Mus musculus: one gene and its partner. The protein of the gene in region 1 interacts with the protein of each later gene in a biochemical or structural test. Links are inferred from orthologs where the notes say so. Each region holds a gene or a part of one and is shown on either strand. Other genes may lie near its edges.

Region 1 (3,807 bases):
ACTGTCTGTAACAGGTCTGACACCTTCTAGCAGTGCATATACATGGTGCACAGACATATGCGGACAGCCTGCCTACACACTATACAAATTGTATACACACACACACACACACACACACACACACACACACACACACACCACAGTGATCACTGCTCTAATTGGCTGGCGATCACAAACATTAATCTACAAGTCAGGAATGCTAAAGCAAGGAAGGCAGTTGTCCAGTTGTCTCATCTCTCAGCCTTAACCCTCAGACACACGTTATTTTCACTACATTTTTTAAAAGTCCTGACCATGGGATTTCAGAGACAGATTAAGACAGCTACTGAGCGAAGTGATAAGCGAGTCCGTTGGAGTAGATGAGACCACCTAGGGTAGATCATATCCTGGATGCCAAGAGAGCCAGCAACAGCTGTCTGCACCCTCCCCACACCACTAGCTCATTCCAGAGAGGTTTCCTTTGAGCTCAATTGGAAGACTCCCAAAAAATACTCTGTAATGCTAATTGCAGATAATGGGCTGAAGGACTGGGGGTTCTCCTAGAGACAGAGGTGGTTCCTGGTCCAGTTCCCCAGACCCCAAACAACTATCTGTAGGAAAACCAGCAAAAGGTTCTTTGAAGGCAAACCCAGAGGGTGTGTTGACCACTAGGCTATCTCCCTTGAATTTCCATTAAGCAAGAACTTTCCACACAAGCCTCTCTTTTTTTCTCTGGGCTTTTAAATCCAATCTGTCCAATTTCTGATGCTGGATGACCCAGAAACTCAGCATGGTTTGGGAGAGTGACTTGAGCTTGCCGTAGCCCAGACATATGTAGTTGATACCTATGGGCAGATGGTGTTCATCCGGTAAAATCAGGTACTTTATTGTGTTAATTAATGCAAGAGGGACCCTGAAAATACAATATTAGCTAAATTTCCAGTCTAGCAAGGCCACCGGTGCTTTCTGTTGGCTAAATTTGGAAGTTTCTATCCTGATATAACCAGAGATGTTCTGGAATTCTTTTCCTTGAGGAATAACTTGGACAGAAAGCAAGGCAGGTAAATGTGCTATTAGAGAGAATTTAAAAAGGAAGGCTTCCCCCACTTCAAGGAAAAAAACCAGGCCTATACAGAGCCTAGAGGCCTCTTTGAGACCTTCCCACCACCCACAGGCCTTAGCATTGAGGAAGCAATAAAGTAATTCTCACTTGAGATTTGTTCAATTAGCACCCCTGTGTTTTTTAAAGGCAGAAAAATGCTTTTATGAAGAGAAAAATGGTCTTCTTTTTGGCAACCTGTGTATGAGGAAGAATTCTGTGAGCCTTTGTTTTACCATTTAGCGGCTTCTCCTGCTGCAAAATAACCTTTCTCTGTCTGTTCAGGGAGATCAGGCAGTCAGGGGTTAATTCCAGTCAGTTTCCTGACCTCTTGCCCAGATGACTTTTTAAAATGTTGGATGCATTTGCATGGGGATAGAATAGAGAGAAAATGATAACTTAGTTTTAATTCGGGGCTTAACAGAATCTCTGTGTCACAGTTTGTATAGAAGCAAGAAGCTGAGTTGTATGCCAGGCAGACCTGAACTATCTCCATACCATACCTGCTGAGTGACTTAGAACACAGTATTTAATCTTAGAATAGGGCCAGGCTGTGGTAACAGTGGCAGTGGAGGTGGTGAGAGTGATGGCGCATGTCTTAATCCTAACACTTTGGAGGCAGAGGCAGGTGGATCTCTGAGTTCGAGGCCAGCCTGGTCTACAGACTGAGTTCCAGGACAGCCAGGGGTACACAGAGAAACCTGTCTTGAAAAACAAAACAAACAAACTAACTAACAAAAAAATGATGTGTGGATAAGAATAGCTCCAGCTACGTCACAGGTGGAATAAACGACTCGTTCCTGCTCATGTAGGAAGGGCCTGGAATGCAGCCACTGAGTTTGGCTTTTGTCTGGTGCTAAATACTCTTCTGAGTCCTTCTTGTACATGGTCCTTGTACACTACCTTGGAACTCTATACATTCAGTTGAAGAAACTGATGCTTAGGTGACATTCAGTCACCACCCAGTTGGTATCTAGCTGGTCTAGGATTTAAACCCAAGGTGCCCTGAATGTACAGATGTATTTAATTCTCTTCTCCCCTTCATTCGAACTACAGAGCAAATGTGCTTAGAAGTTTGGGCATTTGGCCCTTTTGCAGATTAACTTGAACTCAACCTTTGTTCAAAGCTGTCTCTTCTTCTAGAAGCCAGCCTGCTCTCCGTTTGCCTAATTTGACCTTCTTTCTCATCTCTTTCCCTTTCTTGTTCTGAAGGCGGAAGAGACGGAATTTCAACAAGCAAGCCACAGAAATTCTGAATGAATATTTCTATTCCCATCTCAGCAACCCTTACCCCAGTGAGGAAGCCAAAGAGGAGTTAGCCAAGAAGTGCGGCATCACAGTCTCCCAGGTGAGAAACCCTTGAAGAGCCAGCTTGTGGCCTTGCCTGATGGAGCCTCAGGGGGGTCTTGGAGGTTTTTCTTGGGCCTTCGGGCCTTGTAAGATCCACCAGGGAGAGCCTTGAAAGAGGAAGGTAAGCTCTTAGTACTTGTGAGACAGTTTTCAGGTGAGTTTAAAAGCCCAACCAAGGGAAACAACCAAAGGAAGAGAAAATTTAGAATACAGTGTGCAAAGAGAGACAGGCTCCTCCTGGATGGAAGTGTTTATTATATAATACCCGCACGTTCCGTGCCGTTCCTTCTAATTCCGTAGCAGTTTTTTTTTTTCTCCAAAACCAGGAACTTTAATAAGAGTTGGTGACCCAAACTACTTGAATGAAAGGGATGTCAATGCTTTCTCTTAGTGTTCTGACTCTACAAGGAATAACTGATTTGGAGAAGGAATTGAGAATGCCACTGGTTCCATTGGAATGGCACTGAGTGTCCCTTCCTCCAGAATGCATTCACTATAACAGGTCTCCACTGACGTGGAAAGATGCATGATGCAATAGTTGTATGCACATGGAATCTCTTAACATGAGCAGAATAAAAAAATAAAAAATAAAAAAAGAAGCAGTATTGAGCCCCTACTTTAGCCTAGAAAAAAAGTATAAGAAAAATTACATACTCCCCTGGATTTGAGAAGAAGACTTCCTTACAGTAGTGACTGTCTTTGGAAACACCCACTTAGGTAAGGCAGCATGCATATGGGCCTTCAGTGGCTCTGTGACCTAGCTGAAGGTCCTTTCCAGTCACATCGCTTAAAGAAAGAACCTCAGTAGTCAGACTCAACTAGTCCAGTCTCCTGTTTTTCTAGAACTGTTCCCATTTCAGTCTAGGTTTAGATTTCTTGTCTATATAACGGGAAGACATGATGTTCCTTGCTCCTGGTGGTGGATCTGACGAGTGAGTTTACGTCGGGAACCACACACCTCAGTAAATTCCCATGGTAGCGTCCTCTAAACTACTCCATGGACTCAAGGCAAAGTCCATAATTCCAGATTTTAAATTTATCTAGAAATGAGGAAGAAGCCTTCTGGAGTCAGGTTGTAGCTAACGATACTGGCATTAGCTCTAGCAACCTCTACCTCCTTCATGGTGGAAAGCCAAGTGCTGAATACTTTGTTCATTAAAAGAATTATTTATATGCTGTGTCTCCTTTCATCTGTTTCCTATCTATTCCAAGGCCATGCAATTCTTGCCTCCCCCGACCCCCAACACACACCCCATCACCACCACCATCACAGTAACAATTACAACAGGTAGGCTAAGCTGCTCCACATTGTGAGGCAAAATCTGCTGAGAAACAGCATGATGCTATTCATAGACTAATAGGCTGGGGGCTCATTTTTT
Region 2 (4,413 bases), on another chromosome or scaffold:
GGACCTCAAAAGGTAGATAAGAATGAATTTGACCTTCTGATCTTTGTGCTTCGACTACCCAAGTGCTGAGATAACAGGCATATGTCACCATATTAAACCTGGTAAGGTTTAATGTGTGTTGGGGATCCCACCTAGGGTTTTGTGTATGCTAGGTAAGCACTCTTATCAGCTGAGCCATATCTTCAGCTCCCAAACCCAGTTTTTCAAATTTTAATATTGTTGTTGCTATTGTATGTGGACAAATGTGTGTGCATACCACACATGTGTTGGTAGTTGGTTTTCTCCTTCCACGTGGGTTCTGTGGTGAACCGAACTGTAGCTACAAAGAGAGTGATGCCTTGGGGTGTCTGTGGAGCCTTGAGGACACAGGAGGGTGTCCTACCAAACACATGCTGCGGCTTCCTCAGGCCCCTTCCAGCCAACAGTCCTGGGGTACAAGGCTCCTCCTGAGGAGTGTGGGGTCATCAGAACCGCTTTAATCTGTGTACGGATGAGAAGCACCGATCACACACTCAGGCGGCCACTGCATAAAACTGTTGCCTAGACAAGCCAGGCAAATTGAGGGCCTCTTTCGCTCTGTCTTTTACTTCGATCAGTGAAGCCACGGGGCCCGGGGTACGCTGCTGCAGATGATCTGGTTAGGCAGAGCTTCAACTAGAGACAACACTGTCCAGTCCTCCTAAGGAAAGGTCTCTTTCTTTCTTTTTCTTTCTTTTTTTTTTTTTTTTTTTTTTTTTTTTTTTTGGCCTGGAGTCCTAACGGACCAGATGTCAGACCGCAGTCACTTCACGGTCAGTCAGGAGACTGCATCCATGGTTAGATCCCAGGGCAAACATCTCAAGCGCTCAGTCCTTCGGTCTTTAAAGATGAACGCCTACCTCCTCGCGCCTACCCCAGCTCCAGAACCTTGATTGCGAGGCGCCGCTCAGAACGAAGGGCTAGAGCCGGGAGGCCCAGAATCGCGAAGGTCCTCTGATGGTACAGCCCGTACTCCCCGCCTGAGCTGCAGATGGTTCCACCCAGTTCCACAAACCTTTATCCGAAGGGAGGGAGCAGACGAGTGCGCAGAGGAGGCGTGGTCTATAGCTCTCTGGGCCACGCCCCACGGCGTGGTCATGAAACATAAGCTCTGCCTCTGGGGCGGGGCAGGCTGCTACTGGCGCCCGGGCTGGGCCGCTGGGTGGGGCCTGGCTGAGTGCGCGCAGCGGGGCGGGACCGGCCTCTGCCCCGCCCCGCTTGGGCCCTCCCCCGCCCCCTGCCTCGCCCCCGCCCCACCCGCCCCGCCCCCCGCCCGCCGTCGCGCTGGGCGGGGGCGGGGCCCGGGGTCGGCAGGCCCCGCCCCCGCGGTGAATATTGATGCGGCGCGCATCGGCGTCGCCCTCCTCCCATTGAGCGAGGCTGTGTCGCGTGGCCCGGCGTCGGCGTGACGGTTGGACGCGGGCGCGGCACTGCGGGTCCCGATTGCTGCAGCCGCTTGTCAGTGTGATGAAGATTGGCACCCAGGTAAGCTGTCACTCAACCGCTCCGCCGCCGCCGCCGCCGCCGCTCTCGCTGCCGCCGTCCCTATCAATCACACCGGCCGAGGCCGCCGCTGCCGCCGCCTCCGCCGCTGCCTCTTCCGCCGCGGGCCAGGCGGGCGGTCGGGCGGGCGGTGCCCCGGGCCGCACTTGACCCGCGCCCGGGGCGGGGGCGGGGGCGGGGGGAGGGGTGCGCCGATGGGGGGAGGGGGCGCTGAGGCCGCGGCGCGGGGGCGCGCCCGGCTTGTTTTCCTGTGTGGGTTCAGGGGCGCGGAAATTTCTCGAAGGCGGCAGGGCCTCCGCGCTGGGCCCGCTCGAAGCGCGCGCCTAACCGTCGCTCACGGAGTGCAGCTCGCGGCTGCGGGGGCGCGCGGGCCGGCGGGGGCGCGCGGCGGCGGGCTGAGGGCCGAGGGCCGAGGCCCGGGGGCGGCGCGGCAGGAAGATGGCGGCGGGGTCGGCAGCCCAGAGGGGCGGCCGGAGCCGGTGTGGGGCTTCCCGGGGGAGTCCGCGGATGGTGACAGCGTGTCGCGCGTGTCCACGGCCCGTCGGGGAGAGCTTCTCGAGGAGCGCTTGGTCCGCTGTGCCTGCTCCGTGTGTATCTGAGAAGGGAAGCGGTGCGGCTAGGAGCACCGAGCCCGGCGACGTCGCGGCTCCAGGCTCCGGAGGCCGTAGCCTGCGCGGTCGGTCCCACCGCGCCAGCCGGGAGCGCGCGGGCCACGGGGGCCAAGATTGAGCACACATCAGGGATTCTGGATAGTTGAGACGTGGGTGTCGGCTCGACAGGGAAGCCTCTTCCAGAAGTGACTTGTTTTTGTTTTATTTTATTTTTTTTAAAGATGTGGGTGATTTCCACTAAAGGATGGAAGAACACGCCTCTAAGCAGGCCTCCTGTCATAGCACTAGAAAAATGAGCTTTCCCTAAACACTCCAGGGAAGGATTTGACTGAGGCGGGAACGCGTTGCTAGCACGCTTTTTGTTGCTCATTCGGTGTCCAGGTGAGGCAGGCAAGAGTCCCTAAACCCTCCCAGCCTGTGCGGGCCATCCCGTTGGCAATAGCGCGCTGAGTCTTAGATCCACCATTGTGTGAGGTACCGTTGAAGCTTAAGGTTCTTCCTGGAGAACTTTGGCCACCAGGGCACCAGGAGTTGATGCTCCTTAAGAGAGACCCCTGTGCTTTAGGATAGAACAAGGATGGCTGGGAAGATAGCTCGGTTCCCCCCCCCCCCCCCGCCCCCAACCAGCTCTGTGATTCAGGGGGCGGCAGTTTACATTTGGTAACGTTTCTGTGGCCTTGTATCCTAACTTTAGGAGGTCCTGATTGTGAATTGTGGAAACAAAGTCACTGTAGGAGTAGTAACATTCAGTTACAAGCTTCACTTTGGCCCTGCACAGTTAAAACCAGAACTGTTGAGAGGAAAAGAGATTTGCCAAAGTTCGAAGTGTGGATCCAGGAGCTGAAACTTTCCCAGGGTCAAAAAGAGTACCAGTCATGTTGGAATAGCTCTCAAAAATATCTGATCTAGCGAGGTGGTGGTGGCACGCTCCTAATTCCAGCACTCAGGAGGCAGAGGCAGGTGGACCTCTTTAGTCTGGGCTATAGAGTTCAATCAAGATAGTCATGGCTACATAGAGAACCCTGTCTTAAAAAAAGTATTGGGCCAAAGTGTCTCATCGGAGCCCCGGATTAGCTCCCTGTGCAGCCGGGCTGAGCAGAGCTTTCCAAGTCCTTTGGGAGTGTGGTGAGGTTTCTGTGACAACTTAAATGCTTTGTGGACATGCCTCACACTGGTTTTGCTCATCTGATCTGATTGCCTTCCTCGCTGAAGATGCTTCCTTTTTGTTTTTGTCAGTTTCTGTCCTTTTTAGAAACCCATGTACATTCAGCTGTCTTTGGTAGGAATATGGATGAATGGATGTTCAGGGCCCTCTTCATGACCTGGCAAATTTTTTGTTGGCAGAGGTGACAAGGAATTCAAGAAGTACAACAGTCAGGAGAGCTTGATGTCCTGATGTGGTGTGGTCTAACAGTGGTTGAGGGTAAGAGAAGTTAGCCACAGCCTTTGGTGGGTTAGGCTGTCTTACAGTTAGCTGTGCTGAAACACAGGGAGTTCTTGTCTAGAGTGAAAGTTTCCATCTTGTCTAGAGTGAAAGTATGTTGTATGTGGTAGGATTGGTAGGATGAACAAAGTGGACTGGACAGTCATTTGGTGCAAAGCAGACAAAGGCCTGGCCACAAAGGCTGCTTCGTGTTACATTACTGAGGGTATGCCAGGTACCTCAACTGCTACAGCCCCTGCTGTTGAGCTATTGTTTAGGAAGTTCCCCCCAGAAGGCAGGCAGTGTGGCCTGTGGTTGGGAATTGTGTCTCTGATGTTCTGTGGTTCTTGGAACAGCATCATGGGAAGCGGATGGCGTAGCTTCTTACTCCAAGGATTTTCAGGGAGGTGGCGGGGGGGGGGAACATTTACAGAATCTTGAAAACCATGAGGTAGGGGATGCAGTTCACTGACGGAACTCTTGCTTTACAAAGCCCTGTCATTCCAAATATCCCTGCTCCAGATGATTTTATCATCTTGGGCCTTTCTCTGGAGTGATAGAGCGTGGCCATCCTGATGGGTAAAGTCACAAGGCCCTTCTTCCCGTCTGAGGGTAAACTGGTTAGCATGGGTTGTCAGTGCTCTGTGTATATAACATAATTTCTGTTCAGGGCAATCCTGTCACCTGAAGGCCCACCTTCTGATAGAGGTAAGCCTTCTCTGGTGACTCTGTGTGTGTGCTCACTGGGATAAGACGACAGGTGTCCAGTGGGCTCCCTTTGTAGTCACCATGTTGTCTCTACCTCATGTTCTCTCAGTCCTCACTTTTGCCGCCTTCCCTTTTGTTAGCCATGGACAT

Evidence for each region.
Region 2: the proteins of Pbx1 (region 1) and Pknox1 form a complex in vitro, tested with the Homo sapiens proteins (2 studies listed by BioGRID). The link is inferred for Mus musculus from reciprocal best matches to the Homo sapiens genes PBX1 and PKNOX1.

What each region holds. Positions count from the first base shown.
Region 1 is NC_000067.6:168,194,367-168,198,173, reverse strand, and holds part of Pbx1 (pre-B-cell leukemia transcription factor 1), read left to right. Parts: intron 1-2,290; coding exon 2,291-2,426; intron 2,427-3,807. UniProt on the Homo sapiens protein: Transcription factor which binds the DNA sequence 5'-TGATTGAT-3' as part of a heterodimer with HOX proteins such as HOXA1, HOXA5, HOXB7 and HOXB8. Binds to the DNA sequence 5'-TGATTGAC-3' in complex with a nuclear factor which is not a class I HOX protein.
Region 2 is NC_000083.6:31,563,386-31,567,798, forward strand, and holds the start of Pknox1 (homeobox protein PKNOX1), read left to right. Parts: upstream 1-1,387; 5' UTR 1,388-1,503; intron 1,504-4,413. UniProt on the Homo sapiens protein: Activates transcription in the presence of PBX1A and HOXA1.